Caenorhabditis elegans: one gene and its partner. The protein of the gene in region 1 interacts with the protein of each later gene in a pairwise test. Each region holds a gene or a part of one and is shown in the gene's direction. Other genes may lie near its edges.

The links.
Region 2: the proteins of rbm-12 (region 1) and sma-1 interact in a two-hybrid assay, tested with the Caenorhabditis elegans proteins (one large-scale study listed by BioGRID).

The regions. Positions count from the first base shown.
Region 1 is NC_003279.8:10,120,460-10,125,512, forward strand, and holds the start of rbm-12 (RRM domain-containing protein), read left to right. Parts: upstream 1-1,999; 5' UTR 2,000-2,059; coding exon 2,060-2,263; intron 2,264-4,924; coding exon 4,925-5,053. Other genes in the region: Y106G6D.5 (Helicase ATP-binding domain-containing protein), read right to left, coding at 40-338, 386-468, 579-848, 893-972, 1,024-1,385, 1,428-1,619.
Region 2 is NC_003283.11:11,897,695-11,902,477, forward strand, and holds the start of sma-1 (Spectrin beta chain), read left to right. Parts: upstream 1-1,754; 5' UTR 1,755-1,869; coding exon 1,870-1,936; intron 1,937-2,213; exon of another isoform or gene 2,214-2,385; intron 2,386-3,413; coding exon 3,414-3,676; intron 3,677-4,301; coding exon 4,302-4,481; intron 4,482-4,783.

The DNA.
Region 1 (5,053 bases):
GATATCCTCAAACTCAACTAGACATTTTTGAAAACTCACTTGTCTGATAAAACAACGGCAGGCAACTGTTTCTGATCTCCAACAAGAATGAGTTTCTTACAAGATGGTGTGGTTAATACTGGCACCCAAGTCGCAGGTTCCGTACATTGTGCAGCTTCATCAACAATCATGACATCTGCATTCCAATGATACTCCGGTAGTTTTTGAATTGAAGATGTTCCCAATGTTGAGAAAACAGCAAGTTTTGGATAGAAGATACTTCGAAAAATAGAATTTCGAATTAAATAGTATTCATATGACATCTTTTTATAGAGAGGATCGGATGTACTCATTGTTGACTGAAAATTAAAATTATTGAGGATAGGGATGATTAACACTCACTTACAAGTTGCTTTTTGATTTCTTCTAACTTTGAAGCGGATTTGTGGTTTTGAAACTCATCTTTCGTGTTTGCGAGGAGGCACAGTTCTGAAACAACATACAATTAAATATTGGCTTTACAGAAGTTAAATTTAACTTTTTCAAGGATATTCTTGTGAAAGTATAGATATTTGAAAAAAAAAATTACAAATTCTTACGCTGTTCGGCTTTCTCTTCAGGCATTTCTTCAATCATTCTTCCCGTGGTTGCATCCATTGCATTCCGTACAGCAACGTGTGTTGGGGCACAAACCAAAACTTTCTTTTTCTTTTTCATCAGTTGATGAACAATTTCAGCAATCACACGAGTTTTTCCAGTTCCTGGTGGTCCTTGAATACATAATAGATTTCTTTGTGTGTTCATTGCTGCTGAAACTGCTGCTACCTGACTTGGATTGAGTGTTTCCGGAAGATTTCCAATTTTTCTGTCTGAAAACTTTTAATTGAGGAGAATTCAACTTCTTTGAAAATACCATGAATAGAGGGCATTGGAATTGATCGATAGGCGAGATTGACTAAATGGACACTATCACTGGATAATGATGATGGATTCCTGAAAAATTGAATACATATTTTCAAGTCTGGTATACGGTAGCCACCATACTTAATTACACTTTGAAGAAATTTTAGAGCTCCGCTGTTTGTTGATGGAGTGAGAATGTAATTGAGTGTTGAGAAATCCACATTTTTATCGTCGTAAGCGCATACTTTCACGATTCCAGCAGTACAATCAACGACATGCCCATCGGACACTTTTTGCAAATGACCATCTTCATTCAGTTTGTTCAACAATACTGGAGTTCCTGCTTTAAGCCATCTCGTTCTTAAAATTGCGTCACCAGATAGGGTAATTACCTCTCCACAATATGAATCGTAATATTTTGAAGTCACGATCAGATTCCCAACGCAGAGCCCACGTTCTTCGATCACTCTCCATCCTACTTTGTTCCGGATCATCTCATCAAGCTGAAAATATAATATATTTTTGATCCCGATTCAGATTTTTACTTTTTCAAATTGCGCTTCGATTTCTGCTTCAAAGATCTTCGGCCATTCTCTAACATTGTCCAAAAATTTTGGTGTCAGAGAGATCTTATTCTTCGGTTGCTTTTTGAGAAGTCGGGAAGATTTTTTCAAGGATTGCGCTGAAGTCGATAGTTTGCATAGAGTTCCATAATTGAGTGATCGCAATAATTTCATCGTTCATTTCATTTAGATTTCCACCTGAAAAATCCATTAAAAATTGCAATTAATTGCATAATTTGCCATTTTCTGTTTTTAAATTCGCAGTGGAGCGAATTTACTGACACGCGACGCGCACGCAACGCTTTGCGTAGCAGCTTTTTTTCTTGTCGATTTTTGCTCTCGTTAGTCAATATTTTCGGTTTTTACACGTTTTCAGCGAATTTTTAATAGTTTCAGTTAGGTTTTTTGTTTTCTAAAGATTTGTTTCTGAAGGTATATCTATTTTCAAGGTGAAAATATGCAAAAAATGGTCACCTGCCGTCGTCTCTCTGAATTTTATTGTCATTCTATATTTCTGCAATTTAGTTCATTGTCTCATGCTGATATTTCATTCCAGATTTGAAGCGAACTAATTAAAGTTAGGAGTTTGATATATCCTCCATTTTTTGACGAGGATGTCGGTGATAATCCGTCTGAAAAATTTGCCGATGACGGCAGGCGCTTCGGATGTCCGTACATTTTTCACCGGTTTGAAAATTCCTGATGGGGCTGTGCATATTATTGGCGGAGACGAGGGAGAAGTTTTCGTCGGATTTTCTTCCGATGATGATGCGAGGCTTGCAATGACAAAAGATCGGTTGATGATTCACGGGGCTGAGGTTTGTGTTGGGGTATTCAGAAAATCGATCCACGTCTTCCTGAACTGATCCACTCTGTATAGTTTCTTCTACAAGTATATAGTTGTTTTGTTAGTGAACCAGTGTATGATATACGCTTAAGATTGCAGTCTGGTCTTACAATAATCAAAATATTTCTGTGCTTGCACGTGTTATATGTTTCTCTAGTGAATGCAAAGCGGCCACCTAGTTTTTTGAACGCTCTTAATAGCAGAAAAGTGTTGCCAATTAAGCGAAGAACATTTAAAAATGTTTTGTGTTTAATTTAGCTATATGATGGACATTATTATTTCCGACTCTGAACTTTCCTGGTTATTATTAAATTTGTGTAATGGAATATTAGGAAAATAATTTAAACCACGCGGACGCAGCGGGAATGACTCCGATTCTGATTGCTGATCATTGTCGTCACACATAACATCTCTCCATATGTATCTAAAATACAGTTAAACAGGGTACACTAATTCCAACAGAAGAAGTACATACTAAAGTTGAAAATCCGAATTTTCATCAAAAAGCAGATAATGGAGTAATGCACTTTTTCGGACTATATGCCGGTTTCTGAAAAAGAAAACATTTTCCACAGAACACAAGAGAATAGTTAAATGGATTTAATAAAACAAATTTAGATTGACAATTTTCTGGCTTGCTGTTAATCATGAAAGATTGTAAGGGGTATTTTGTGGCTGACCTTTTTCGGTGAACGAGAAAACAGCAATCTTTTTTAAAACTGTATTTGTAGCTTTTGTAATCACGCGAAATGCTGAAAATTGAACATTGTGGATACGATTTTTCAGAAACAGACCCAGTTTTTTGATTGTCAGAAATGAATGCCTATTGGCATTCAGTACTGTTCAACAATTGTTAACAATAGTATTTTAAAATTTTGGTAGATTGGAAACTATTCGGTATCGAAAAACTAATTCATCCTTTGTTCTTCCCATTTTTAGCGATCGTACAATAGGCCTCTAAAAAATGTCGACTTTCCGGATGAAAAATTTCAATACTGATAAGGAAAATATACACTTCCAAACCTTTTCAACATTTACGTTGAAAATGAACAGTGTTTCGTCAAATCTGCATATAACATTTTATATCACAAAAAATGAAAAATGATTTTAGTTAATTCTAATAGTTGGATAACATCACAAACTACTTCAAAGTAAAACAACAATTATATCAACCTTGAAACGGAAAATTCATATAGCATTTTCGTGTTCTTTGCTAGATTCGAAATTGAATAACAGTTTTAACTTCAAAACTAGCGAAAAACTTTTATTTTTTCCTCCTGAATCACAGACAAATATCTCGCGATACACTCGACATATGAACCTCACAACAAGGAGAAAATAACAATCTCAAAAGCGGCATCAAGTTCAAACTTTTCGAATCCATCCTAAACAACAACATTTTAGGTGCATGTAACTTTTATGGGTTGCAGCGAATGTAATGTTGAACCTCTATTTTGAATTACCACATCGAAAAATGAAAGTGTGCAGAATATTTGACTCAATAAATATCTCGTAGCGAAGTCTACAGTAACTGTAAATTACTGCCGTAACGTCAAAAATAGACGCTGAGGTTACGGTAGCATTTCCAAAGTTACTGTAGACTTCGTAACGAGATAACCAAACTGAATTTGTATAAAATATGTTCCAATCACCTTTCAACACCAGAAAAATTAGGAATTATATGATATTTATAGGCTTTGATCTTCTTTTCCACCGCATTTGCTCTCCACTCTGAACTGGGTTATGCGAACTTAAAAATCACAGATGATCTGTGAACAACTAGGCGTCAGAATACTGCATTATTTTCAATCTCTGCATATATCCTAATTTTTATTACACTAGTTATTGACGCTTCAAAAAATTTATTTAAGTTCTGAAAATCAAACAATTTTCAGCGTTTTATAAAAACTTGTTGTTTTCTGGTTGAAATACTTCGAAGTAATTTTTCAAAAAGTTATTTTCTGAACATAATAAGTATTATTTACTGAAAGCACATTTTCATCAGAATGGATTAGGCAGCTTATTGAACTTTCATTGTGACTAGTTTTAAAAAAAATGTCATTGGGAAAATATTCAAGTTTTTGATGCATGAATCCACATTTGAAGGTCTCAGCACGATTGAAACATCGTTCATATCAAACATCACACAAGAGGGTGTGTGCCTTTAAGGGGTACTGTAGAAATCACTTCCCAGTTTTTTTTTCAATTTTATTTGATTTTTCCTCTTCTCCTCACTTTCCACCGCGCTAAAAAATAATCAAGTCATAACATTCCTCGAAAAGGTGCACGCTCTTCTGCCCTCACTTCATCTAAAATTATTTCGATCGTGCCGAAACCTGGAATCGTCATTTTACAAAAAACATTGCCAAACGTACTGAATAAATGGGAGAAATCCAAAATTATCACTAGGCTTTCTTCTCCCCGAAGCAGTTAATTTTTGAACTCAAATTGAAAATTTTAAATCGTCATGTCTGGCAAAATTTTCGTTTAATTTTGAATATGTACCTCTCAAGTTGACAGTCAGTTGGGGTTAAAAAAAAAATGTAAAAATGGATCAGTATCAGGAACGACTATGCTCGAGTCATTCTTATATGGAAATAATTATAACGTTTTCCCAACAAAATATTTTCAGGTTCGATTATTTCTCTCCTCCAAATCAGAACAGAACTCTGTAATCGCGGCGCGAAAAAATAACACATATACTTCTCCAGTATACAAAGAATATGTTCCGCCGGTTCCATCACAACCAACGCCGGCGCAA
Region 2 (4,783 bases), on another chromosome or scaffold:
CTATTCGCTAATACTAAACGAAACTTATCGCATTTACATTCTCACACTTCCACTTTTCAAAAAAGTAAAGAATACTACTTGTAAGGTGGTAGTGGACGACTGTCGGTGTCGGTTTTGTCGAGATTTCGTCTTTCATTCGACTGATCGGACAACTAGATACACTGAATTAGGTGGTGAAAGAAACTTTTCTTTTGAAAAAGGAGAGACCTACGTTTTTCTTGTCCGTTTCATTTCACTGCCTTCTGCCAAAATATGTGTGTTTTCTCACTGTTTTATCATCCTTTCAAAGTCTTGATTTTTTGGCTCGCAGTTTTTATGGTTGTCGTGGAATTGTTTGGTTCTCTGTTCCTCTTTGCCACAAAAAGTTTGTTGACTGTAGGTTAAAATTCAGTACTCTTTTAAAGATTTTTTTTACTGTAAACTACACGATTGTGAAAGAAACTTAGTCGTATTTTGTCAGCTTCAGATTTCGGCAAATGTTTGAGTCGGGAGTACAGCTCTGTTTATCTACATTTCCATTCTCTTTTCAAAAGTTGTTTCCCAAAACACCTGTCGACCTGTTACCCGTCCATAAATCATGCCAATATCATTGTCAATATGACGGCGTTTATGGTCAAGTATACCTCAACGAAATGCGTCAACTCTGACGCATCCGTGTTGACAGACGAACTCAACTCATCATAAGTACACAAATGGAAACGTATACACGCGTTGAATGAATAGATTGAATTCCTAGAAATGGGTGTGTTTTTTCCTTGAAGAATTGATCCATATGCGTTGTCGAAAAGTTGTTCTAAAATAATTTTCTGAATAACTAGAAGTTTTACAGTAATTAAAGTTTTTCGTTTGTTCAGAGATACTTAGTATTCTTAAGTTGCCTGTGCATATTCCTGTCATGCCTGTTTAAAGTAACTCCAGTGGGATTAACTATCAGAAACTCTCCCTAAAATAATATACGAATATCATAATAAGACTTTTATTTGAAAAAGTTTTTTGTAGGCAAACACCAAAATAACTAAATGTCCTCCACTCATAATTTTTGAAGTAGTCCGAAACATTTTAATATTCTCATATTTGGATTATGTTTTAAGCATTTTATAGGTCCAAAAATGAGGCATTGTTTTAAACATTTCCAAAAACCGACATTTTCGAAAATTGGCAATTTGCCAAAACTTTGAACAAGAACATGTATGATGTCTTTTTCTAGAAGTCAACAAATATTGTCAACAATAAACAAGAAATCATAAAAAACTATAATAATAAGTGGGCTGCTCATGGATAAGAACAAAAAGCGGTGTTCTTCCTGGCTCTTGAAACAGACATGTTTGAACTCAAGTGCCCCACTGTGGCGGTCAGCTATTTTTGTGTTTGTCAATTTCCGCCACCGGAATCCTCGATTTCTCGCCCATTTCGGCCACCACTCAATTGTTGCCGCCGCTGAACATTCCTTCCGTTCTTTTCCCGTCAGGCGAATACACATATTCGATACTTTTTATCCATCGCGCCGATCGATGGATGTCTTCTAATCGTCTCCGACACTTTCTCCGTTACTTCTTTCTCTCTCTCATCATATTCGGATAGTATTGTATAGAGAGACTCGGCAAAGGATAAACGAACGCCGGACGTCGTTGCAATTGAACACAGAAGAGATAAAGATTATATAAGAAGTTACCTTCTGAAGACTGAGGAGGAACCACCACGGCTACTGTCCGAGTGTCGCCGTGTTTCCTTGACCCTTTTTCTCCATATCTGACAAGAATCGAACACGGATTGTCAAGACTGTTCATAACGGAGGAAATACTACCACTTACTATTTTTCGACTTTGCTATATACATAATATATTCTTGCTAATATTGTGAAGCTTTATCATGTCGTATGTGTCGTTCGCGGCAAGCTACTCGCCTGGAGAAGGCAAAACAGTTCGAAATCTCAATGGTATGTGCTCTTTCATTTTAAATTCTTTGTAATAAGTTTTTCAAAAAAATTCTGAAATTATTAATTTGATTTTGGGCACATCAAAGTAGGTGCAAATTAGTTTCTGCAAACAAATTTTCTAAATTTTTATATTTGTGTTAAGTAGTCTTCTAAATTTTGGCGCTTGAATATATAATAGATCGAAGTAAAAAATTGTATGAATATTGCTAATTTTGGTGTTGTTGTGTTATATGCATTCTTGCACATTCTCACAGTCTGCTGCATTCCTTTCTCTCTTTATTTCTTCGTTCTCTCTATATGGAAGTGGCGAGAGGGTAAATATGCAACACTGCATACCATCAGTAGAGCGTCCATAGAGCCGTGAAGGAAAAGGGCACAGTGATAGGTGGTAGTGTTGAAGTGTCAATACAATTTAGTACTTTTTCTCTTTCCACATATTTTTGTCGCTATTCTAAAGTGAATCATTGTCCTCTGTGTCATTTCGATTTGCAATTTACCAAGTATGAGATATTTATGTATCTGTCTTATTGGGATCTCTATGCTGTGACAGATTGCTTCACTAAAATAAACAAAGTTCCAATAGCATTCCCTCCGTTGTCTAATCCATTTTCTGTTCTCACTTTTTGCCCCCTGGGTTCGTCTTTACTAATGAGTTCAGCAACCATCCCGCGGAGCACATTTCAGTGACTCATTCTTCTTTTTCGCAGTGATAAGACGCTGTTATCAGATGTAATAAACACGGGGAACGCCCCCACCTCCACAATATACCTTACTTTTAAAATTTTGAAAATTTTCGTGACGTTTCGAACTTTCTCTGCTTTTTTACTTGAAATTTAATCTGTCAATGTTTTTTGCTGGACATTTATAGCGATTGCTAAACACGTCTCTTTTTTGTTTAATTGCAGAATAGTTCCAACATTTTCTCAGAAAAAATTTCATTCGAAAAGCTTTCCAATTATTCCATTTTCTTTTTTGTAAGCCTTTTCTGATTCCAGTTAAATATTACTAACTTTGTTTGTGTCGCGTCGTCGTACGACATCCGACGTACAAATTCTTAATAAGTCATATTTCACGTGAACATTATTACGTGAACTTTGCCCACACACACAGAAAATAGTCGCACACATAGGAATGCCACGTGTACCACGTGTGCCACTCTTTCACTGTTTATGTTCGGCGAAACATTTCTTTATTTCAAAAATCTTTCACTTTTCTTGAAAGTATTTTGTTGCTGGATACAATTTCCCGTTTTAATTGTAAGTTAGGTTCAAACTTTTTCTCTGAAAAACGATGTGATTCCAAATATTAATAATCTTTGTCTTTTTTGTGCCACGTGGGCGTCTCTGTTGCATATCATTTTGATCATTATTCTCTTCAGAAATGTATATATAACTTGTCTTTCTTTTTTCTCTATCTATTAGTCACTTAACTACTCAAGAAACTTTCAAATTTATCAACTAAAATGTATATTTTTCAGACAAGGTAGAAGGGTATCGCAAGGAGATTGCCCCAAGTCGCGAAAACGTTGACTTCGATCACTTGCGAAGAACACCTAGAGATCCTTTACCGGAGAACGACTATCAGGCGACGAGCAGTACTGGATTATCGAGTGGGGAAGTAAAACCCTACCAGTACCGCGACTATCACCAACATCAGAAGCACGAGTATTACGGCGAAGGAGTGAACGACGGTGTATCTGAAGACAACGTTGAAGACAAAATGAGAAAATACGAAATGCAGGCAAGTTTATATTTATGAACTAGACAGGCTTTTTAAAGTAGCATCAACCTGTAGATCGAAAATGAATGTTTAAACCTATTATGATTGGATTTTAAGATAATCCGATTACGCGTTTGAAACATAAATCCCAATTTTGCCAATAGTCAAGCCAACACATCTAATATTTTTGTCAGATTGTAGTAGTTGTTTATATTTGCTCTAAAAGTCATGCCGAAAAAGTTAATTTATTCAATATCTATGAAATCAACAGCTTCATCTCCAACCCCAAGTGTTAGAACATTACCTGAAGAACAGGTAGTTGCTGTTTTTTTGTTTTATAAATTGTTCATGACTCATGAACATTTGGAGATCATTCATTTTCTTAAAGTAGTCAGCTGACGTGCTCTCATACACTCTATGTTATTTCTGTTTATCATTAAGGTCGGCAAGCGTCTCTCCCGGTTAGGAAGGCTATGCTGTCAAAACGGAAAGACGCTGAGCTAGTAAATATTTGTTTTTCCTTATATGTAACAATTTTGGTTCCGTAATATTATTCTGGAAAGTTTTAAAGATCCGAAAAAAAACTGAGAACGTTTAGAAATATTTAACAGTTCAATTAGCATCAAGTTCATAATGATTTTTTCAGGTTCGTGTTCCAACAAGTGGTGCACCACCAGTTCGCGCAGATGCCAATGGAACAGATCAAGACGAGTTCAATAATGAGACACTGTACTTTGAAAGATCACGCATTCGGACACTGCAGGACGAACGTGTGCACATTCAGAAGAAGACGTTCACAAAATGGTGCAACTCCTTTCTTAATCGGGTAAGTTGTGATAACAACTGATTGGAGTATTTGATTCTATAACGGCGGTCATCGTTAACACGAGAGTGAATAAGAGAGACGGGTAGAATTAGAGGGAATAGGTGAGGGAGAAAGGTTCAATTAGTCGGAAGAATTGTTTACGGAAAGAGAAGAGGATAATGCAACGGGAAAGTAATGCGGACCAAGATGACCTTGCAAATTCCCTTATCTTTATCTGGAGATCAGTTTGCATGCAAGAACGAAAGGAATGTTCGGATGAAAACCAATGAAATCAACTGAATTCATTCGTTGCATATGGGGTA